6 linked regions of the Callithrix jacchus genome follow. The main gene of each other region encodes a partner of the protein of the gene in region 3 in a complex. Links are inferred from orthologs where the notes say so. Each region holds a gene or a part of one and is shown on either strand. Other genes may lie near its edges.

The links.
Region 1: STRN (region 3) and STK25 share a complex: the UniProt entries of both Homo sapiens proteins name them as parts of the core of STRIPAK complex. The link is inferred for Callithrix jacchus from reciprocal best matches to the Homo sapiens genes STRN and STK25.
Region 2: STRN (region 3) and STRIP1 share a complex: the UniProt entries of both Homo sapiens proteins name them as parts of the core of STRIPAK complex. The link is inferred for Callithrix jacchus from reciprocal best matches to the Homo sapiens genes STRN and STRIP1.
Region 4: STRN (region 3) and STK26 share a complex: the UniProt entries of both Homo sapiens proteins name them as parts of the core of STRIPAK complex. The link is inferred for Callithrix jacchus from reciprocal best matches to the Homo sapiens genes STRN and STK26.
Region 5: STRN (region 3) and STK24 share a complex: the UniProt entries of both Homo sapiens proteins name them as parts of the core of STRIPAK complex. The link is inferred for Callithrix jacchus from reciprocal best matches to the Homo sapiens genes STRN and STK24.
Region 6: STRN (region 3) and STRIP2 share a complex: the UniProt entries of both Homo sapiens proteins name them as parts of the core of STRIPAK complex. The link is inferred for Callithrix jacchus from reciprocal best matches to the Homo sapiens genes STRN and STRIP2.

The regions. Positions count from the first base shown.
Region 1 is NC_133507.1:162,783,250-162,786,749, forward strand, and holds part of STK25 (serine/threonine-protein kinase 25), read right to left. Parts: intron 2,789-3,500; exon of another isoform or gene 2,619-2,788; intron 414-2,618; coding exon 183-413; intron 1-182. UniProt on the Homo sapiens protein: Oxidant stress-activated serine/threonine kinase that may play a role in the response to environmental stress.
Region 2 is NC_133508.1:147,887,854-147,891,948, reverse strand, and holds the start of STRIP1 (striatin-interacting protein 1), read right to left. Parts: upstream 2,801-4,095; 5' UTR 2,787-2,800; coding exon 2,607-2,786; intron 1-2,606. UniProt on the Homo sapiens protein: Plays a role in the regulation of cell morphology and cytoskeletal organization. Required in the cortical actin filament dynamics and cell shape. Part of the striatin-interacting phosphatase and kinase (STRIPAK) complexes.
Region 3 is NC_133515.1:78,023,818-78,027,854, reverse strand, and holds the start of STRN (striatin), read right to left. Parts: upstream 2,801-4,037; 5' UTR 2,436-2,800; coding exon 1,908-2,435; coding exon of another isoform or gene 1,825-1,907; coding exon 1,729-1,824; intron 1-1,728. UniProt on the Homo sapiens protein: Calmodulin-binding scaffolding protein which is the center of the striatin-interacting phosphatase and kinase (STRIPAK) complexes.
Region 4 is NC_133524.1:127,582,750-127,586,748, reverse strand, and holds the start of STK26 (serine/threonine-protein kinase 26), read right to left. Parts: upstream 2,801-3,999; 5' UTR 2,695-2,800; intron 2,596-2,694; 5' UTR 2,487-2,595; coding exon 2,445-2,486; intron 1-2,444. UniProt on the Homo sapiens protein: Serine/threonine-protein kinase that acts as a mediator of cell growth. Modulates apoptosis. In association with STK24 negatively regulates Golgi reorientation in polarized cell migration upon RHO activation.
Region 5 is NC_133502.1:14,261,882-14,266,055, forward strand, and holds the start of STK24 (serine/threonine-protein kinase 24), read right to left. Parts: upstream 2,801-4,174; 5' UTR 2,786-2,800; coding exon 2,327-2,785; intron 1,019-2,326; exon of another isoform or gene 1,004-1,018; coding exon of another isoform or gene 1,001-1,003; intron 1-1,000. UniProt on the Homo sapiens protein: Serine/threonine-protein kinase that acts on both serine and threonine residues and promotes apoptosis in response to stress stimuli and caspase activation.
Region 6 is NC_133512.1:117,737,071-117,740,570, forward strand, and holds part of STRIP2 (striatin-interacting protein 2), read right to left. Parts: intron 2,561-3,500; coding exon 2,463-2,560; intron 1,991-2,462; coding exon 1,864-1,990; intron 1-1,863. UniProt on the Homo sapiens protein: Plays a role in the regulation of cell morphology and cytoskeletal organization. Required in the control of cell shape. Calmodulin-binding scaffolding protein which is the center of the striatin-interacting phosphatase and kinase (STRIPAK) complexes.

The sequences.
Region 1 (3,500 bases), on a different chromosome or scaffold from region 3:
GACTTACCCTCCTGGACCCTGCTCATACCCCACCTGCCCTGGGGCAATTTCCTGGAGGGTGTGCACTGTCATGGCTGCGTTGCGCCCTCCCCCACTAGCCCACCCTGGCATGTCACTCCGTCCCTCTGACATGGAAGAGGGTCAGGCACAGCACCAGCAGGGCCCCCGCCTCCCACAGGCACCTTCAGGTAGGAGCCGAAGTAGCGGGTGATGTAGGGGCTGTCGCACTGGCTGAGCACGGTGATCTCCTGCTGGATGTCCTCAATCTCATCCTCCGCCTCCTCCAAGTCGATGATCTTGATGGCCACCACCTCCTTGGTGTGGTTATCGATGCCCTTGTAGACCTCCCCAAACGAACCCTTGCCAATGCGGTCGAGCTTGGTGAAGAGCTCCTCCGGATCCACTCGAGAGTGCTGTGGGCCAGTGGGGAGAGGGCAGACAGTGCCGGTCACAAGAGGCAGGCGGGGGACAGGCAGAGGCTGCCCTGATGGGGAGGGACCTGTAAGGAAGGCGGAGCCCGAGAGAGCGCACCTCAATTCTTCTCTGCTTTCTTCTTTTATCCCTTTTGTTTGAAACCTGAACAACTTCCATGCAAGGGAAAAAGTCCCCAGAAAGTATAAGGAGGCCAGGCCAACTCAATGAACCCTGCCGGAAACCAGGAGCCTTAGGTGATGACAGGCCTCATCTAACCCTACCGGCTAATGGCAGGCCAGCCCCGTGAGAGATCTTAATAGGCTAATGGCCCCATGGGATGAGGGTGGATTTGGAAACTTAATTTGCTATAAATCTGAAACTACTAAAAAAATAGACTCATCAGGGCCAGGCACAGTGGCTCATGTCTGTAATCCCAACACTTTGGGAAGGCCAGGTGGGCAGATCACCTGAGGTCAAAAGTTTGAGACCAGCCTGGCCAATATGGTGAAAACCCGTCGCTACTAAAAATAAAAAAAAAAAATTGGCCAGGTGTGGTGGTGCAGGCCTGTAATCCCAGCTACTCAGGAGGCTGAGGCAGAATTGCTTGAACCCGGGAGGCAGAGGTTGCAGTGAGCACAGATGGCGCCACTGTACTCCAGCCTAGGTGACAGATGGCGACTCCATCTCAAAAAAAAAAAACATCAGGCCAGGCGCATCGGTGCACACCTGAAATCCCAGCACTTTGGGAGGCCGAGGTGGGTGGATCACCTGAGGTCAGGAGTTTGCAACCAGCCTAACACGATAAAACCTCGACTCTAATAAACACAAAAAAATGTAGGCGTGGTGGTGCAGGCCTGTAATCCCAGCTACTCAGGAGGCCGACACAGGAGAATCACTTGTACCTAGGACGCACCACCCTGAGCAACAAGAGCAAAATTCCATCTCAAAAAAAAATAAAAAAATAAACGAACTCATCAAAAACCTCAGACCTCGGTATGTGTTAACCAAGTTCTCCTTCACTCCTGAAAGCCACAGACTTAGAAAGGGCCTCCTCACTCCCAAATCAGTCTCCCGACAGCTACACCGGCACAGAGTTAGAAACTGGTGTGCCTCACAGTCCTCAGATCTAAAGAAGCAAAGCCTGAAAGTTTCTGAGTCGCTGGTGTGGAAAGTGCCTGGTCTGTGGCCCAGAGTCCAGGGGAAGCCAGCAGAGGTATGTCCTCAGGCCTCCACCCACATTTTTTTTTTTAGATGGGAGTCTCACTCTGTCACCCAGGATGGAGTGCAGTGGTGCGATCTTGGCTCACTGCAACCTCCGCCTCCTGGGTTCAAGTGATTCTCCTGCCTCAGCCTCGTGAGTAGCTGGAATTACAGGCGTGCGCCACCATGCTCAGCTAATTTTTTGTATTTTTAGTAGAGAGAAGGTTTCACCATGTTGGCCAGGCTGGTCTTGAACTCTTGGCCTCGGGTGATCTGCCCACCTTGGCCTCCCAAAGTACTGGGATTACAGGCATGAACCACCATGCCCAACCCCTCCCCTATGACAGGGTCTTGATGCCAATTTAGTGTAGCAAAGCATAAAAAGGCAGAGTGACTATGCCACAAAAACACTGAGGCCCAACTCATTCTGCTGCTGACACACGACAGGTCCTTGGGTTGGGGGTGCCCTCCACGTTCCTGGGGAGACCATGCCCTCCAAGAAGGATGGGGTGCACCACAAACAGCCCTCACACTCATCCTCTGGACACCTGTGTGCTGGGGCTGCCCCCGGCCCAAGTCCAGCAGAGCACTTGGATGAGGCCGACTGGACATTGTGCCAGCCTGAGGCGACATTTCCATGTGAAACTGCCAATTAGCTGCCCTCCCAAGGTTTGTAACCAGGAGGGTGGAAGAGGCGGCACACAGGCCCCCATCTTGAAACATGCTGCTACATATCCCTTTCTTAGTGCCTGCCAGACCCCGAGGTGACAGAACTCTGGAGAAGAAAAGGCGGCTGCAGAAGGGCCAGAGGCCACCTAACCCTTCCCCACAAGGCTGGCTTGTTAGCACGTGGCCTGCATGCAGCAGCCAGAGCAGCCAGATGCAGTGTCCACACAGACCCTGGCTCAGCCCAAACATCTGACCAGTTGAGACAGTTGGTCCAGTCAAAAGTGACCTCTCTCACTCCCTCATCAGTACCACCAGCCCAGTCCTAAAGCCAGTACCCATGGAGGTGACAGCAGGGGTGCCTTGAGCCCACTGCTACCAGGAGTCCCCGAAGCCAAGGTCAAGAAACTCGGCCGGATAGAGAGAGCTGACTTTTGCCTGGGGTCCCTCCGGTCGTGCTGGCCCAGGTGAGTTGTGTCCCCAGCCCCACCACTGCTGCTGACATGTTCTAAAGAGAAGCCAGGAAAAATTCACTCCAGCGTGGCTGACAAGTCCCGGGTGCTCAGCTGTCTCCAGGTTGGGGGTGGGCAGCACAGATCAAATCAGAATCAGCACCTATCTGAAAGGAAAGTCAACCGAGGACATGCCATCTTTTTTTCTTTTTGGGGGATGGGGGTCTTGCTGTGTTGCCCAGGCAGGTCTCCTTGGCCTCCAGAGTAGCTGAGACCACAGGTGCATGTCAAAGCGTAAGCTCATCCGCCCAAAGGCCGTCGCACGTAAGCGGTCAGTGTGAAAACATCGCCCGCTTGCCATAGAGAGTGCCATCTCCATTTCTGGTGGAGGCCCAGTCTTGGATGCCAGGTGCAGGACCAAGTTAAGAAGCAGCCCCTTTTCTCTTTGTTTTTTCTTTTGAGACAGAGTTTCACTCTGTTGCCCAGGCTGGAAGGCAGTGGCGCAATCTCAGCTCGCTGCAACCTCCATCTCCCGCATTCAAGTAACTCTCCCACCTCAACCTCCCGAGTAGCTGGGATTACAGGCACCCACCATTATGCCCACCTAATTCTTTTTTTTTATTTTTGTAGAGACGGGGTTTCACCATGTTGGCCAGGCTGGTCTCAAACTCCTGACCTCAGGTGATCCAGAGCAGCAGCCCCCCTTCTGCCTGCTCCTCCCCCGCAGGCCCAAAGGGGCCTCAAATCCTCCTTGTTTGCTCAGCCCAT
Region 2 (4,095 bases), on a different chromosome or scaffold from region 3:
GCCAGGCATGGTGGTGCACACCTGTAATCCCAGCTACTGGGGAGGCTAAAGCAGGAGAATATCTTGAGCCCAGGAGGTGGAGGTTGCAGTGAGCAGAAATAGAGCCACAGCACTCCAGCCTGGGCAACAGAGGGAGACCCTGTCTCAAAAACAAAACAAAACCACTCCCACAAACAAGAACTCCACACTATGTTCAGAGACAACACAGTGTACACTCACACAAGTTACTGAACTTCAGTTACTTCATTCATTGAATGGCAATTATGAAACCCTACCTTGAAGATTTTTAAGGACTAATCAAAATTATGTAGTACACAGTGGGCTCTCATAAAATGCCAGCCTCCCTGTCCTCCAGGCATTCACTGATCAAGCTCCCAACTACAGATTTCAGCTATGACTAAAGGAAGATCACAGCATCAGCCTCTTTAAAGAAATGGATTTAGCCAGGCACGGTGGCTCACGCCTGTAATCCTAGCACTTTGGGAGGCCGAGGTGCATGGATCACCTAAGGTCAGGAGTTCAACACCAGCCTGGCCATCATGGTGAAACCCCATCTTAAAAAAAAAAAAAAAAAAAGAAATGGATTTAGACAGGTCTCTGCTTAAATGTGTCCATTTGACTGGTCTTTCATTAAATTAGTCTATTCGGAAATGTATGTATGTATGTATTTGGAGGCGGAGTCTCGCTCTCTTGCCCAGGCTGGAGTGCTGTGGCATGATCTCTCTCCGCTCACTGCAACCTCCACCTTCCAAGTTCAAGTGATTCTCCTGCCTCAGCCTCCCAAGTAGTTGAGACTACAGGCCCCGTGCCTCCATACCCTGCTAATTTTTTGTATTTTTAGTAGAGACGGGGTTTCACCGTGTTAGCCAGGATCTCCATCTCCTGACCTCGTGATCCGCCCCCCCTCCCCGGGCTTCCCAAAGTGATGGGATTACAGGCGTGAGCTACCACACCCGGCCTCTATGTGGAAATTAAGGGGTAAAAAGAGAAATTAAAATTCGTCAAAGGGTATTTATTTGACCATTCATAGCTACTTAGGAAAATTTAAACCGTTTTTCAAAATGATAACTCCTCTCATGATGAAGGAAGTTCACTACCCTCCACTTTAGTAATCCTCTCAAGCCTGTAAACCCAGCATTTTGGGAGGCCGAGGCGGTGGATCACGAGGTCAAGAGATCAAGACCATCCTGGTCAACATGGTGAAACCCCGTCTCTACTAAAAATACAAAAAATTAGCTGGGCGTGGTGGTGGCGGCGCGTGCCTGTAATCCCAGCTACTCAGGAGACTGAGGCGGGAGAATTGCTTGAACCCAAGAGGTGGAGGGTGCGGTGAGCCGAGATCGCGCCATTGCACTCCAGCCTGGGTCACAAGAGCGAAACTCCGTCTCAAAAAAAAAAAAGGAAAAACTGAGTAGTTACCACTGATGTCCATCATCCTAGCATGCAAGGGCTCCTTAAAGGTCAGTTTCTTTGTTTTTTCAAATTATTCACTCTAAGCTCAGATTACTTCTACTTTGGGGTTGCCAATTGTTGACACGTTTTATCAGGGGTTTAGGCTTGCTAACAAAAACAAAAGCTTGTGAGGAACTGATTTCACAAGTCTAAAGATAGTATCATTGCTCTATGAGTACATTATGCTTGGACAATGAGGAATTCCCTCTCATTAACTTGGCTGATTCGCTTGGGGGCTGATTAACATAGGAGATGGCATAGTAAGTGCTCTGGGAACGTGCTGATTAAGAAGCCCTAAAACGCCCCGACATGTGTATCTTCATTCATGAATTCTGCAGAGGAAGGCAGTGGGAGGAATTCTTTAACTTGGGGTGAGGTTACTAGTCGGCTCCAGACTATGCCATCTCCAGAACGGCAGGAACTGCTCACTAGAGAGAGAGGAAGGAATGCTGGGTCCTAATGCATGTTTTAAAATGTCTATTTCTCATCTTTAACAGTTCAGTATCAGGCGCACTGGGCAAAATACCCACCAGAGGCACTGTCAACCCATGGCCCGATCCGGCTCAGGTCAGAAGAACAAGGCATAGTTTCCCCCTCCTACTCTCGGAACCTCCGGCAGCGCAATACTCTCAGTGATAACTATCTCGGTCTGGCCTTAAGTGCCTCCTAGATCCTCGCCGGTGCCTTGCCTGCCCACACGCGCCGTCCTCTGCGCGCGGCACGACCCAGGAGCCTGCGCCCCAGTACCAGGGGCAGAGGCCCGAGAGGTTTAGAGGTTGGGGGCGCGGCCGCCCAGCGCCCTGGAGTGCACGCAGACCCCCAAATTCCCACCCGCGAGTTGGGGTGAAGGAGGCTTCCCAGGGTCAGGGGCCTCGAGGCCACGCCCACAGCCGGGGCCCAGGAGAGCAAACCAGCGATCGCAGGCTCCGGGACGCTCTCCTGGGCGGCGGAGCTCGAGCGGGGACCCGGGCTTCATGCCTCTGACCCCAGGAGCTGCCAACCTCGCTTCCTGCTCCTTTCGCTGTATAATGACAGCTCCCGGCCGGGCTCTACCGAGCCCTTCGGGAAGCCCAGCCTGGCCCCTAGAGCGGCCCAATGCCCGGGACCCCCGGCGCCCCCCGCCCGGTGCGAGCCTCGCCCCCGAAGCTCCTGACCTCCGAGTCTTTGCGCTGGTTGCGGTTGAACTCGCGGGCTTTGCCCCCGGGCAGGAGGCCCGCGCCGGCCCGCGGTCCCCCAGGTGGAGGCTGTGCGGTTGCCGGCGGCGGAGGTGGCGGAGGCTGGGGCTGCTTGTTGTTCACGATCAGTGGGCCCGGACTGCCGGCTGCCGGCTCCATCTTGGCTGCTCCACACCCCCAGCTTATTTCGCGGACAGCCGCCGTGATGCAACTCTCGCGTGATTTTCTCCAGGAACTTTACCTGGTCGCCATATTAAGTGTGGCGGCCTGCGATAGAAGCCATCTTGGCTGACCAGCACGATACTGTCTGCAGTTCTTCCCTTCTTGATCTTTTTAGTTTTCCTCCCTTTCAGTTTCAGTTTCAATGTAATTGTATTTGTGAGGCTTCCCTTAGCTTCTTCAGTCAGTTTAGTCACCCCTCCTTCCTCTAAATCGCTTTGCACTTATCGAAGACTTGTTCAAGTCTTAGGCGGTATTTTGTAAAGAACAAAATGGGTAGGATCCTAGTCTTCACAGAGTTACAGTTGTGATGAGTGCTAATCACTCATTCAACAAACATTGAATAAATGTCTCCTGTGTGCCAAGCGGTTAAGATAAAATGAGGGACAAGTGTCTGCAGTCATGGTACATAACAGTGCTTGGTGGGTCCAACAAACAATAGACAAATATAGAGAAATAAATGCTGAAAAGTGTCAGAGGAAAATTTGCTCGTGAAACTAATTAAAGATGGTAAGGCAGACGTTATGTCAGAGAGCCCAGGTGATAGTTCTAGAGACCGCTACAACCAGACCTTGCAGTGAAGAAGAGGAATTGAACTTAACTCTGACTCCAACAAGAAATAGTAGGGATTTATGATCAAAAAGCAGGATGAGAGTCAGTGGACAGAAAATTACTAAGAGAAACATCAAGGATAAGAAGTTTCTTGCTAAACTGACCTAACAGGATTATTGCTGAAAGCAGGATAGGGTGCTAAGATATTGAGGGTGGTCAGATACCAAGTGTTATGGTTTGAATGTGTCTCCCAAATTCCATATGTTGGAAACTCAATCCTCAAATTCATATGTTGATGGTATTTGGAGGTGGAGCTTTGAGGGGATAATCAGGATTAGATAAAGTCATCAGGGTAGGGTCCCTGTGAGGGGACTGATGACTTTATAAGAGGAGGAGCGATCTGAGCTGGCCCACGTGCTCTTGCTCTCTCCCTATGCAGTTTAAGAAAGTCCTCACCAGACCCAACCCCTTGACTTTGGGCTCTCCAGACTCCAGAACTGCAAAAAATAACTTTCTTTCCTTTAGAAATTATCCAGTCTTTGGTATTCTGTTATAGCAACAAAAAAATGGACTAAGACACCAAGAGTGGAGCGTTCTTGCACAGACTGGGTTCGACAAGGCCAGAAAGGGAAGCCCAAGGGGTTGGGCCCAGTCAGGCAGAAGACTCACAGAAGCTAGCCTAGAGCTTTGGCCAAAG
Region 3 (4,037 bases):
TTTCTCACAGCAGTTGCCACTATAAACCACTATATTCTATAGGCACATCTGCTCGACTGTTTGCCTCATTGAAACATAAACTCAATGAGGGCAGAAGCTTGGTCGTTTTTTTTTTTTCAACCCCGGGCCTAAACACATAGCTGGCCTTCAAAACACTGAACATAAAATTAACCCTTGGGACGTTTCAGATTCTGAGAACAGGAACCATCTCTGAACCATTCTCTCTGACTGTGATCATCTAGGTCCTTCATTCAAAATGCATTAATTGGAAATACCTAAAAGAAACGTGGGAGGGGGTCGGAAGAAAGTGGAGAAGAGATATTTACATAAATTAAAAAGGGAGCTGATATATGCGTAACACTTTTGCTCAACGTCAACTTCTCAAGTCAAGGCCTCACTGACACTGGCACTCAATACACAGGTGCTGAATAAATAAATGATAAAAGTGAAACCCAGAGAGGTTAAAGGATTTCCTCAAGGTCACACACCTAGCAACAAACACAGCCCTTACTATAACCTTGTCTACTATAGCCCCGTGTGTTGGCTCTTTCCACAGTCACTTCCACTACACCACAGAGCCTGTTCCAGCACATGATTCTATTTAACAGATTTCTCCTCTTTTTTTTTTTTTTAAGTGCCAAAGAAAATACATGTTACCAAAAAAAGTGACACACTGGGTAGCATTTTAAACTCAAGTGTTTCGCCAACTAAAACTATATTCAAATTTCATAAGTATACAGGCTTAGCCCGTAAAACAGAAAGGCACAACTATTCATAGTTAAGTTCCTCTTGAAATTGGTGTGTATGCTTTGAAAGTTTTAAAACAACCACTGAAAAACCTATTCACCAATTCTGAATGGCCTGTAAAGTATCAGCCTCACTTTCATTATTTTCAGAGCCCACAGTATCTCCTCCCTGGCTATACTTTATCTTGCAGATTATGCAAGGCAATGTAACTAACTTCAAAGCCCCTCTATTTCCTTTTAAAGTACAAAAAAATCTCCCAAAACACTGAACATAAAATTAACCCTTGGGACGTTTCAGATTCTGAGAACAGGAACCATCTCTGAACCATTCTCTCTGACTGTGATCATCTAGGTCCTTCATTCAAAATGCATTAATTGGAAATACTTAAAAGAAACGTGGGAGGGGGTCGGAAGAAAGTGGAGGAGATATTTACATATATTAAAAAGGGAGCTGATACATGCATAACACTTTTGCTCAACGTCAACTTCTTGTGTCAAGTCGAGGCCTCACTGACACAACTTCTGCTGTCTTCTTGATCACCTTCCTCGCAGAGACGGGCCAAAGCCGGCACCTTCTGCCGGGACTGTCTCTAGACCTAGGATGGGGCACACCAGGACAGCGGACGGTTTGCTCCGCGTCTCTCAAAACTATTGCCAGCCCAATTAGTAAACCGAGAGGGCAGCCCTGAGATGCGGGATGGCCAGAGTTGAAATGAGCCTGGGAGTTAAGAGTGGGATGGGGCGACGAACAGGCGTGGGGAGGGTAAACAACGCACAGGTAACAGGAGTGAGAACAGGGTTGAGGTGGGGTCAGCGAAAGGCAAAAGACGAAGGAAGGAAGGGAACGGGGCTCAGGGTGGGATGGGCGGTAGCAAAGGGGGAGGGAACGCGAGCGGGCTGGGGGAGGGGGAGAAGGGTCCGGGGCGGGGCGGAAGGGAGCAAAGAGGCGGGATGAAGACGGCCAGGCCGGGAGGGTCTTTACCTGCAGCTCCGCCCGCTCCACCTCCCACTGGGCTCTCTCCACCTCGAAGCGGGCCCACTCGTGCTGCAGGAAGTGCAGGATCCCTGGGAGACTGTACTGGGCTCGGGCCGCCCCCGCCGCAGCCGCCCCGTCGCCGGCCGCGGCAGCCTCCGCCAGAGGCCCGAGCCCCTTGGCACCGCCGGCGCCCGGGTGGTTGTTGCTGAAGAAGACGCCGGGACCCGCCTGCTCGTCCATGGCGGCCGCAGATACCCGGGGAGCTGCCCCGGCGCCCAGCAGCGGAGGCAACAGCGGCGGCAAGCAGCGCCTCCTCCTCCCTCCGCCGCTCCCGCCCACACCCCAGTCAGCAGGGAGCAGCCGCCTGGGCGCGGGGGCCGGCCGAGCCCGTGACGGGCCGGGAAATGGGTCAACTGCAGCGCGCGGGTGGCCCGGGGCTTGCCGGGAAATGTAGTCGTGGGGCGGGACGCGGGCGAGCGAGACCAAGGCGGCCTGTGGGGCTTCGCCTCGGCTGGGGCGTGGCTTCGGGCCTGTCCCGCCCACTCCGGCTCGCCGCGGAGGGGCGGGCTTGGCGGGGAGCGCGGGTTTCCTATTGCTGGCTGGGCGCGGGCGGGCGGCGCTCCAGTCTTCCTTGCACGCGGAAGTTGGCGGGCGGCGCTCCCTTTTGCGCACACACACACAAGCACGCGGGCGGCACTCCCTGTTGCACACATACACACACACGGAAGTTATCACGCCAAGATACCAGCCCGAGCCGCGTATCGTTTAAGGCTTCCTGGTCGTTCTGTGAAGAAACCGTCAAAGCGAACTACCTGGTGCGGCAGCGGGACGGGTTCTCCCGCCGTCAGTCCTGCGAGCTCTCGTGCCGGCTCCGACTTCGGAGTTTTTATCACCCTAGACGCTCCTCCATTCTGCCAGTCTGCGGGTCGCTGTCGCTCCTGCCTTTCTTTTTTGACTCGAGGGGCTCAAACCTGTTGCCTGACCAGTTTTCATTTCTAAGGAACGCTGCTCACCTCTCCAAGACAGCGCCGCAGCTTGCTGCTGCTGCTGCCTGCAAATTGTAGTTTGTTGACAGCCCGTCGGAAAACCTGCTCTGTTGAAGTTTCTTTCCCTTTGCAGCCCTCTGCAGTAAATCCTGTAAAAGTTTTAGCATCCAATAACAGATGCTTTGTTATTTGCCTCATTTTTCCTTACTCCCGCTCATTTTTACTCCATTTAATTGAACATATATTTTGATTATCGGTTATCTCTCGCGCTGGGAATATTAAGATAAATGACACCATTTCTGTTATCAAAGATTGGCATAGAATCAAGTATAACACTGCCTGCAAAGCGACACCACCTGAAAGAGCAAGGTCCCTTTCTGCTTCCTAGCCCAGTCTTAGATATCCTGTCCCCTCTCCATTTTCACTTGTCCTGTTCCAGTTTCTTTTACGATTCACTTGCAAACTGGCAACAGCATCCGCCTACCAAAGGTACACCAAAGTCCTTTCCTTTTAAGTGGCTCTCTGTAAATATTTTCCTTTTCCGAAGTCTGACAATATGTCACTATAAATTCACACTGCAACAGTGGGAGAAAGGGAAGGCCCTTGAAAACAATTTTTAAAATGCAAATGAGGCTGGGCTTGGTGGCTCACGCCTGTGAACCAAAGCACCTTGGGAGGCTGAGGTAGGTGGATCGCTTGAGTTCAGGAGTTCGAGACCGGCCTGACCAACATGGGGAAACCCCGTCTCCACTAAAACTACAAAATTAGCTAAGTGTGGTGGCGCATGCCTGTAATGCCAGCTACTCCAGAGACTGAGGCAGGAAAATTGCTTGAACCCAGGAGGCGAAGGTTGCAGTGAGCCGAGATTGCGCCATTGCACTCCAGTCTGGGCAACAAGAGCAAAACTCCGTTTCAAAAAAAAAAAGCAAATGAAATTAAGCACCTTTTTATCACCCTAACAAGTTATCTGGAATTCTTATGTTTTCTAGGACGTACTTCTGGGCTATCAGACTTGATGGCCATGAAAAAAATGAAAAGATACAGGCTGCTGAGTGACATGTCAGGGAAAGACATCCTGTCCCTGTCCTCTCTCCCCTCCCCCCTTTCCCATGGCTACTTGCAGAAAGGACAGGAAACACATTGTATCTGCTCTGGTTGCAAATAAAGATGGAGAACTCTCTTCTCTCCTTAATTGATGTTTCTGCTTTATGAATTAATTCTTTATTATCATAAAAGATTGATCCAGGCCTGGCCAAATTCCCTGTGTCATAACTTATTTGGCTGTCAGTGTCCTTTGAGATACAGCCCAGTCTTCTCGTTTATAGCTCA
Region 4 (3,999 bases), on a different chromosome or scaffold from region 3:
TCTCCTCAGAGGGAGAAAAAAATTGTGGATAATTTTGTTTTTATTTCTGGAAAAATCGTTTTTCCCATCAATCTTCATAATTCTCTAAAATAAACTGTTAAAAAGTTATAGGCTGGCCGGTCACCTCACCCTGATTTGTGGAAACACCATACAGTAATTTCAAGAACACATGGCTAACTCAAGTTTTCTAAAAATCTAAAAGTTGCTCCTAAGGCTTTCATAAAACTCTAGGAGCATTTTACAAGCTTGCAACGAATTTCTGCATCTCATCCGCAATATTTTGCTATATAACAATAACAGAAATAGTCTAGGTTCAAGAGTCACACTGCGTGCTCTCACATTTATTATTAGGGTATTGTACAATTTCAACTATGGAAAAAACTATGTGTTGCACAAAGTGCTTAAGAAGTACATTTAGAAAGAAAATGGAAATAAGAAGAATTTACCATTTCATTAAGATGAAGAGAATGACCAAAAAATAAAAATAATAATAATTCCTCTCTTCTCTGCTAACATTGAGATGTTTGCCCTACTCAGATTAGATGGGACAAAGTAATCAGAATTCAGACAGCAGTGAAAGGCAGAGTTTGTAATTTAAAGTATGTGATTCACATTCGAATCCACATTAATTAAGATGTAAATATTCAAGAGATAGGCAACTCAGATCTTTAAACAAAGCAGGGAACAGCACTTAGAAATACTGAACAGTAAGCAGTTCCTAAACCATATAAATTCAATAAGGTCAAGACAAATAAAGTAAAGATCGGAAACTATTTTCTCCTTAGCACACAGAGTTCCCCAGAATCACAAACTTGAGAACGGGAGGCACTCACTCTGCTGACGCACACACGCAGGCTCACGCACACAATGGAGCGAGAAGCATGGAGACCCTCAGAGACAAACTTCACGTGTGCATCGTTCCACTCTCCATAGAACGGAAAGAAGAGCACGGTGGGAAAATGTCACTTTTTCCCAGATCCGACGGCAAAACTGTACTTAGTATTGCAAACTATGAATTCCCTTGATACAATCAAAGGCAGAACTGAATGAATGGGGTGTGGGACAGGGTGTGTGGGGAAAAGGGGGGGGAAGAGAGGGGAGGCCGCCTGAGAGGAAGAAAGTCTGAGACATTTTGCAAGGCTTGAATGGATTAATCTTTTTTTTTTCTTAAGCCCTACTATTTCCTATTTCCCTTTCTCTCTCTTTAATATACACTAACTTCCTGAGACTCAACCCAGACTTGCCCTAAATGCAGCTGAAATGTCTGATGTTTAGGACACACCAGGAGTTCTAGGTGCACAAATGATCCCTTTCTGGGAAATAATTTTAAAATCACTTTTGTGGGCATGCATAAAATGAGAACACTGCTAATAAGTAAATTGAGGCCCAAGTCTACAGTAAATATAAGCTATTTGCTACTCTAAACATTTTATTTCTGAACTTGAAAAAAGTTTGTTTTCACATTTTTAGATCATGAGAGACTGAGGCTTTCTTGTTTTTAGCCTCTAAACTATTCATAAATGGGTTGTTTGGGCTATCTAGCAAAGGGAAAAAAAGTGAATACTTTAAAAAGTTGGTAGATTTGGATAACATTTAGCAGATAGCCTAAAGTGCACCGATTTAAAAACATAACAGCATGAGAAGTTTTCCAACATGGCTTACCTTTAATAAAATGAAAATATAATGGGAGGGGGTTGGGCTGGGTAGACTTTGAGTAAGAAGTTGGGTCCCATGCAGTAGTCCCTTGTCCAGGACAATATGCTTACTTTAACCACATGTAAGTCATCTCGTGGGAAAGGCACGGAGGGGGGCTGGGAACTCATCACTTCAGCGACTCTGAACAGGACCAACATTTCTCGCTCCACGCTATGGGCTGGGCCAGGTCGGGGAGCCAGATACAACTTTGCCCTTAAGCAGCAGTACCGAAAGGGAGAAAGAGGTCACCTCTCTCTCTCAGCCCTACGCACACAGGAAGAGCCCAATTCAAGCTGCCGCCGACACCCCTGGTCTTGCCCCGCCCCAGCTTGAGTGCGTGTTTGGGGTGGGGGTTGTAGGGCACTCACTACTCGCGTTTTACCCCACAACTTCCAAGGCACTTTCATGTCTCGCAGGTTAAGTTCTCCCCCCCTCCCATCCCCAACCGTGCCAAGCTCCACAGGCGCAGGTGTCTGTGGCTCTGGCCTATTTTTATACCCCACAGCCGCCCTCAATCCCCACCTAGTTGCGCGCTCCAGTCCCGCCTCGCCTTCCCAGCGAAGAGCACCACCTAGCCTACACACCAGGAAACACCTCAAGCCCTACTCCCAGGTCACCTGGCCAGAGTGACCGGCCCAGCCCTCAGGGGAGTCCCGGGGCCGTCCCTTGTCGTCGGTGCCCAGCACCGAGAGCGCTCCGGGCTCCCAAGCAGTCACGTGGGCGGCGGGGGGCGGCCTGCGCTTCCTCACCTGCATCCCAGGCACTTGGACAGCCACTGGTGAGTGGGCCATGGAGGCGACTGTAGCCTCGCTCCGCTTCTGCGGCGGTAGCGCCTTGAGTTCGGACTGGCTCCTCCTCCAGGGGTAGTTCGGCGGCCCTCCCAGGCTTGTCGTTAGGGGCCTGGAAGGACACACAGAAGTGGGGTTACTGGGCTGGAGGCGCGTAGCCCGGGCTGGGAGGTGGGTTGTTCGCGGCGGGGCTCCCTGGGACTCAGTCTACCTTTCTGGCGCCCGCCCGCCACTGAAGCAGCCGCCTCCGCTGCTGCTCCTCTTCCTGAACGCCGAGCGCTGTGAGTGGTGGTGGCTGGGACCTGGGCTCGAGTGATGCCGCTCCTCTGCGCCTCGCCGCTTTAGGAAGAGGAGGTGGAGGCGTCCCAGCCACCCGCCTGCTTGCCTGGCCCGGGAGGCGGCTGGGGGCGGTTCCGCCGTTGGCCCTGCCCCCGCCCCGCAGCCGGGCGGTGTCGCGGGAGCCAAGGCTCCAGGCAGCGAAGGGGTTTGGCTGGGGTTGCTGGAGTCTGAGAAGCTGGAGACTCTCCCGGCATGGGGTGAGGAGAACCCGGCGAACGGGAGACCTGGAACACGGCTGGGCCTGGGAAGAGAATGGAAGAGTTTGGGAAACCCTGAGGGTATGAGGGCGTCCTAGATGCGACCTTGTTGCAGGCGGGCGTGCGAGGCTGGGGCACACGCACCCTCGGAGACGACTTGAGTTGAAACTTGGGAGTGTTGGAAGTCTTTCTTGGCTCCCCGGCCTGGCCTAGGGCGGGATCACAGCCGCGGAGTCGGCGGCCCCCGCTTTTTCCCGCCATCTGGCCTCCTCAGCTGGGGGCTGCTCCTCTGGGCAGACCAGTAGCCACACTCAAGCTTTACGAGTTCCCCGACCCCAGACATGGTTCAGATGACTTCTAACCTAAGGTTCCCCCTACCTCTTTGGCTATCACTTGCAGGACGGCCAAACTGGGGCTTCTCTCTACCACAAGTTCTGCACGTGTAAAGGCAGAGGGAAAATGGAAAGCAGATGTTATATCAGCAGAAAAGTTAATGAGGATAGTAGAGGCTTGGGAAATGAGATTGGATCGTCAGCAGTACAGGTTGTTGAATTCGGCATACACAGCAGCGATTTTGGTAACTCCCTGCCTCCGCCGCATTTTAAGTTCCACTGCGGGAGGGAGACAGGCTCTTTTGAGAGTACTCTAACAGCGACAGTAACACTGGTAATAATAGCAACAGGAATTTCATTATGAAGGCACCTTTGGGAACACATAAGGGGTTAATTACTTTTTAAAAACGTAATAGTCGAATGCCAGTTTAAAATGAAGTTCTTTACTTTGAAGTTTGTTTTGGGTCTCTAACCACCACACGGTGGGGGGCCTCTAGTGGTAAATAGTAGTTTCTCTTCTTCCTTTTACATCTTTTTCAGAGAATAATATATGATTCTTATCAATATCGTTATCATTAATGGATGTCATCTTCTTTGTGCCAGAGACTGCTAAGTGCTTTCTGTGTGTTATTAATACCTTACTGAACC
Region 5 (4,174 bases), on a different chromosome or scaffold from region 3:
CTGCTGCTACGATATTTAGCTGAGAAAATAAAACCGTGCGTTTCAAAGCAATCCTTGCTAAGTATGATGTCTTCCTTGGCACAGATCAAAGGACACAGAACACAAGTGAGTCAAAGGCTGCTCGTTCCATCTCCACTTGCTGTTCTCCAAGGACCCACTGGGACTTTAACCACGGACCGTTTATAACTCATTTCTTATCCTGGCTTGAAGACAAAGGTCATTCACAAGACTGCATTATTTTCTGGGCATGGTAATCAGCTCTCATGATTTAATATTTTCTTGGCACCACACTCCACCGACCCCAGCACTGACTGGTATGCCAGCCATTTTTAAGTATTGTAAATGGGACTTAAATAAGTAACATTTTGGAAGGTGTGCAAACCTAAATAAATATTGCTGAGTGGGGACCGTTCTAGCCAACTCTCTTGTCTGTTAAGGGAAAAACAATACATTCATCCTCCGTTCGCGTATATATACACACACACACACACACACACACACACACACACACAAACACACTCTCTCTCTCCCCCCTCCCCCTCTCTCCCTCCCCCTCCCTCTCTCCCCCTCTCTCTCTCTCCAGTTGGTTGGTTCCGACTTCCTCCCAGCCCTGCCTTTTACTGATGGGGGTAACCAGAACAGGGCCAGCCTCAAAAACTCAGGAGTCAACTCAAGTGATAACACAGTAACCCCAAATACTCATGCAGCCCTTTCTGTTTTTCAGGAAACTAGCATATAAATATGAATGGCTTCCCAGACCTATAAGGTAGTTCACGCACTTCAGATTAACAGACGCCTTAACATCACAGGGCTGCGCCTAATAAATGCTCAGTTTCCGGCTCCTAGGTTCCTTTCCCTATTAGTCCCTTGTTCCTGGAGTGAAAGCGATGGGAAGTAAAACAGACCACAGCCCCTAAAAGGCTAACGGTGGACTCTACTTTTTATGAGTTTGTCTTTTACCCTACTTTTTCTATCTACACGTCCAAGTACCAACACTCACCATGTATGTCTGCAAGAGGTCAGCTGAAATCCAGATCCCATCATTTCCAAACTCAACACCAGAACGCACGGCCTGACAGGAACAGGTAGATTTGTGGAGACAATGGGACAGAGTACAAAGTCTCAGACTCACCCCTCCTTGTAGCAGAAAACAGCAGCCGGCCAAGTGCGGGAGCCCCCGGGGCCTAGAGGTGCCTGCAAAGGCCGGGGCACAGGAGAGAGGCTGAGGCTGTGCTCCAGCTGGGAGGAGAAGACCAGTGATGCCATCCTCCAAAGTTCACAGCTTCGGTAAAATCCTATCTACCCAAGTGCCCTACGGAGTTGTTCCCACCCCCAGCAAAAAAAAAAAAAAAAAGATAACTAAACACTTGAAGGGCAAACCAAATGCAACAAATGCGCTCCCCAGCTGGACCCAACAGGAAGTCTGCATACATTTACTTAACTCTAGCTCTCTCAATGATTCAAGCACAACTCAACTTTGATTCTGTGCTCAGATCTGAGAAATCTCAATCCTCCAGAAGCACCAAGCAAAAATAAAAAAAGGCCTCCAAGCACAAACACAGCTGCCCCAAATTCCCGGCCCACCCAAACCGCACCTCTCACAGGGAGCCTCAGTCCTGATCTCAGGACATTCTGGTGCGTGATAAAGGCACAGGCTACGAAAGGTCCAACAGCTGGGCTCCACTGACAGCAGCTGAGAAGCAGCAGGTGAGGCAAGGGTGGGTGTAGACCCGAAGACGCCATCTTATCGCTGCATAGAGACAGAGAATGCAGGGGAGGCAGCAACAGGAGACCCCACAGTGTGGCCCGGAAGCCCTCTACTCCCAACTGGCCCCCAAGGATGGCGGAGAACTACGACAGGATGCAGGACACCCCCGAACTGTGAGACAGGAGCTACCAGCCTGCAGATGCAGTGTGGGTCATCAATGGCTTCAATTGAATGATTGCTACCAGAAGCTGCCGTCCACGACTCCGTACCCAGCAGACTCAGTCAAACACATGCGTAAGCCACATACTATACAAAAGAAACTTGATTTCACTTCTGGGTCTTTTTTGATCTTAGGCTTCATAAGAACACCACACAATGTAAATTGGCAAGTATGAGAATCCTGGCTGTAATTTGGAGTCACGTTAGTGGACACCAGGTTTAAAAATAGCTATGAAGAGGCTTCCAGTAAAAGCCATCAAATGAAAGGCGCATTATGTTAGGCTGCTCTGGCCCACACTGACGTTAATAAACGAAGGAGCGTGAGAAGAAAAGTCCATCTGCAATAAATGTAGGAACTACCGGAACCGGAACCCACAGGTAACATAGCCAGGCACTGACCTCTGCTCCAGGCTGAGGGGAGAACTGAGAACACATCAGGACCCTAGGCCTGCAAGGGGGCAGGCGGCTGGGAAACTGAGGTCCTTTTCTTGGCACGTGGGGCTGAGATGGCAGGTACCATTCCTGTGGGAACCCAATTGCAGATCCAGAGGCACCCAGCAGGCCTGGTCCACGAGGGCATCTCCACTTCCCTAACCAGGAAGGCTTCCTAGTAGAGAGGCCAGCTTTTCGCTGTGGGCCCCAGGCAACTGGGCCCTCACCCCTCACCTGGGGAGCATGCGAGGGTGCCACCGGGAGTGGCACAGGCCCCTGGAGTATCTCATCCCTCGGAGAAGAGCAGGCGCTGGCACAGCCCACAGGCAGAAGGCAGGGCAGGCTGGAGAGAAAGAAGAGGACAGAGCCACCTGCCCCAGGAGGCAGTGCTCCCGCCCCTCCGCGCTCACCCCACGCCCGGCCCATGGCAGGTCCCCTCCTAAGCCAAAGGAATCCACGCTGACGAGTGGAGGAAAGGCAGTGGTAAAAAAGAAAACAAAAGGAAAATATTTCCAAATTCCCAAGGGAGAGGGGAAACATTTCAGAAAAATACTGCTCTCAACTCAAAGAAATTACAGACAATCCAGATAATCCTTTTTTTAAAATCTCCAAAAAGCATTAACACAGCTAGAGATGAAGGTAATAAAAATCACTAATAAACCTCATATTAAAAGCAGCAAAAAGTAGAAAACAATGACATAAAGAAAACTGTATTACCTAAGAGTAGAAGCACTAAAAAGATGTAAAAGTGATCAGAAAATGAAAATAAGTAAAAGGCAAAACCCCCCTTCCGGTCAGTTTCTACTAGAGAAATAATAAGACAAGTGGAAAGATTCATAGGTCCATCAAAATTTTCCAAAAATTTTTTTAAAGCTGCAAACTCCCTAGGTAAACATCAATGTAAAATTACAGGAATTGGTCCCCTTTTGGTTGGGGGACAGGGTTACTTATTTACACATCCAAAGAAAAAGGTGGAATGATGTACACTGAAATGCTAACAGTACGTTTTTCTCTTATCTGTGTTTTCTGCACTGTCCCTGTTGCTAACAATGAGCCTGTCTCACAGATGCACACTGTGGGAAAAGCAGAGCTCCAACATCGCAATTTCTAATGTACACATGTGCAGATCAAAAAATGCCAGACTTGGCTTCAGGAAGATGATTTTAAGCTTATTCCCGGCTGCTCAAAGTCAGTGATTAGACAACTCAAATCCATTACCCTAAATCAATACGGATAATAATAAAGAAGCTAAAAAGCAGCAAATGTCTTTCTATATTAGATGAAACATCCTGCATTACATTACACCAAATACCGTAATTACCGCATGACTTGTAAACAATTCTTTCCATAAGGAAAACCAACAAAATGAAAATATAAAAAAAAGAGAAAGCATTCAAGAAAAAATGTTAACTCATTTTTTTTTTAAGCTAAAAAAAGAAACATGAAAGTTTAAAGAAATTGGGAGGTCACAGAAATTGCTTAAGATCTGAATACAATTCAACACCAGTCTTTTTCTTTCTTTTTTTTTTTTTTTGAGGTGGAGTTTCACTCTTGTTACCCAGGCTGGAGTGCAATGGCGCAATCTCGGCTCACCGCAACCTCCGCCTCCTGGGTTCAAGCAATTCTCCTGCCTCAGCCTCCTCAGTAGCTGGGACTACAGGCATGCGCCACCAGTCTTAAAGTCCTTGTCATTCTGGGTTTCACTGATGAAGGGTAAGAGAGCAGGAATAACTTCCGATAAATAAAACTGTTCTGTTTAAAAGACAGCGCACAGATGACCGCTGTGGCAAAGGCTGGGCAGGGTGCTGGGGTCCT
Region 6 (3,500 bases), on a different chromosome or scaffold from region 3:
GGGGCAAGTAGCTATAAGAGCAGTGTCATGGCGTTTTTGTTACCCATGACACACTAAGGAGTGTCAAACACAGTTTAACTCCAGATCCAGAACCTAGTGTGCTGGGACAGTATAGAAATGAGGTTGAAAAAGCAGAGAACTGTGGTGTTTTAAATCCTCAGCTCTCTGATCACCAACAAGTAGCCAAGCAGCAAGCTAAGCTGCCTAATGATCCTGGGTATGTAATTAGAGCAGGGGAGTCAGCTTATGACAAGACCACTTCCCTCTTCTGCTCAATATTTTCTCCCTGTAAGGTTATATATTTATAAAATCCAGTGTATTTTCCAAAGCCCCAGACAGAAGAGCCAATACATATCCAGTATTAACTGATGGAAAGCTTTTTTTAGTTTGAGATGTGCCTGTGGCCCTGTCAGGATTCACTGACACACTGCCAAGGCCCATCAAGCCACCCACCTGTCTAGCTATGAATCCACATACTTCCCACCAAGATAAGCAGAAGTAAACACACATCCACAGTTCTCTGTTCTCTTTACACTAGCAACATTATCTCCTACCTACCCCTATTCCTCCCAGCCCTGCTGCTACTCAGCAAACATTGGCAAAAGTGGGAGCACCGAGGGCAACCGAACATACCCAAAGATGTCTTTGAAGGTATGAAAATGGAAAAATACCCTGGTTGATAGGGCCATGACATAGACCCTGCAGGAGCCTCTCTGTACTCTGAGGACCTGCTCTTCTACCAGCAAGCTTGATTCTGACTTCTTAGGAGGAAAATGGGGTGGAGCCTCTAGGCAAGAATGAGAAGCATTCCTATTCTCCCTGTGGTCTCCTCACAGACAGGAGCATCCATTTGCTGTCCCCATCTTGTCCTTATATATTGGCAACGCCATGAAACCAAGTCCAAACTCCTTAGCATGGCAAACAATGTTTTATGGGAAAGCAGCTTCTTAACTTTTCTTAGCTTCGATTTCATCATTTATAAAAGAGGTATTAAATAAGACTACTTCATAGGGTGGAGAGAATGAGGGCCTAAATAAGCTTAACAGGGTGCTGGGCACAGGACAGGTGCTCAGTAATTGTGTGCTAGCATATAGATTATGATCTGCTCCCTGCTGATCCCTTCAGCTTCATGTATCACCAGGCCATGCTCATCTTTCCCCACCCCAGGCAGAACTCCAGCAACATTTAATTAGTTTCTAAAGGTACTTTGCTCTCTCTCTCTCTTCCCCCTCTGGACTTTTGCATATTAACTTTTCTGCTTGAAATGCCTCCTGTCCTCCTTCCCTAACAATTCTCATATCGTGGCTAGCATCTGTTTTTTTAGGACTCAGGTTAGAAGTCATTTCTTCTCCACCTCAAGCTGAATCAGGTGTTTGCATAGCAATCAGTGCTTACCTGTATCAGAGCACTTATCTCACTATAATTGGTTACTTATATATCTGTATCCTTTACAAGATTTCAAGGCCCCAAAGAGACAGAACTGTGCCTTATTCAGAATATACCTCAAATGTCAGAAAAGTGCTTCACATATAGAAAAGTATGGTCAACATACTTTTCCCCCCATTTGTGTGAAATGTTTGCACTCTCTCTTGCATTGTTTCAAAAACTGGCTGGGCATATTCTTGAGAACCTAGAGATTCCTATCCATAACCCTGGGATAACTTACAAGGGACACAGACATCTGTACCTTTCTAGGACAGTTCCCACTCCATAACACTAATGGGTGGCCAGATTCTCTGAGGAAGGGCAAAGAAAAGGCTGAAAGATGCTCGTCAGGATTATAAGGGCCCTCGTATCCTTCCTTTGAAAGATAGGGCCTGGAAAACATCCAAGACCTGTGGAGAAGAGCTGCTAGCTGCTCACCTGGTAGATATGGTTGAGTTTGAAGTGTTTGAGGAGTAGCAGAAGCAGGGTAGAGATACTCTTTACAATAATCTCCTTGTGCCTGTTCACATCAATGCCCAGCTTCATGCTCTGGAGAACAGTGATGCTACAATGGGGAGAGAAGGTATTAGCGCAGAGAGTGGCCTTAAAGGGAGCCCTGTAGGGATCCAGGTATTTGGGTCTGATACAATGTACACATGAGAGCCAAAACTTGGAAAACTTGAACTTCTGTGCCAGGGAAACCTCCAGAGTTACCACTTATCAGCCTGTCTGAAGAAATATTCCACTGATTTCTTTGTTTCTGTCTCTCTCTTTTGGCAAGTTCATCCCTTGGGAATGTTCACCCATATATCTGGGCAGCCAGTCACTGGCACTCATATCACCCTCCAGATCCTGAGTTCTGAGCTAAAAAGAGCCAAGCAGAAAGCCCTGTAGGGGAAAGGGGGTACAGGTGTGGAGAGAGGGGGAGATCTCTTTGGAGACAATCTCTGTAAGTATTAACAAGGTGAGTGGGGACTAGAGAGACCCTGCAGATAAGACAGCTAGTATCCAGCAGCTGCCCCCATTGAAGCACTCACGGCATCTCCTCAGGTAGGACATCTGCCAGGATATTGATAGAATCTGTCTTAGCCTTGGAGGTGGGAGCTGCAGCCAGCAGAATCTTAAGCAGAGCGATCTGGAAAGTAGAAAATAAAGAAATCCACCACTGTCCAACCCACTCAGCAAGGCAGTGGTTCTTCCACATCTTAACATCCCTGTGAAAAGTGTTTTAAAGCCATTCTCTAAGTTCTTCCCTCAATGACCATATCTCTCTAGCATCCAGAAGACCAATCAGGTGCCCAGTCCTGAGAGGCCTGCCCGTGAGGATAAAGAGAAAGCCAGAGGGAGCTCATTGGCTGTTCTGCTTCAAGACTGTTCTTTCCAGGGCCTGGCCTGGTGGCTGATGCCTGTAATCCCAGCACTTTCAGAGGCTGAGACAGGCAGATCACTTGAGGTCAGAAGTTCAAGACCAGCCTGGCCAAAATGGCGCAATCCCGTCTCTACTAAAAATACAAAAATTAGCTGGTGTGGTGTCACATACCTGTAATCCCAGCTATTTGAGAGGCTGAGGCAGGAGAATCACTTGAACCCGGGAGGTGGAGGTTGCAGTGAGCCAAGATCATGCCACTGCACTCCAGCCTAGGCAATAAAGTGAGACTCTGCCTCAAAAAAATAAATTAAAAAAAAGACTGTTCTTTTCAAAGGGGAATATGGACAGAACAGAATGAGAGGGACAGTGTGTAGAAATAAGGTGAGAGGCATAAGCCCAACTTCTCCCACTCTTTTCCTTCCTCTAACCCAAACCATTGGCATCTTCCCCACCCCCCAGCCTGAGGCTATCTAGGACATGACAGACCACAGCAGATATCAAAGGGTCTACAGTACTTATCTCGGAGGAGGGTCCCCAATGTATCCTGTAGAGAAACTCAACTTATTCCCCACCTCTCCCAAAGAAGGACTAGAGAGAACAGTACCATCAGAGGAGTACTGAGGAAAGTCAGAAGTTTCATGTCAGAGAATGCCTTGCCAAATGGGCACAGGCTCAGGAAACAAGCTCAAGTGTTGGATGGATCGGC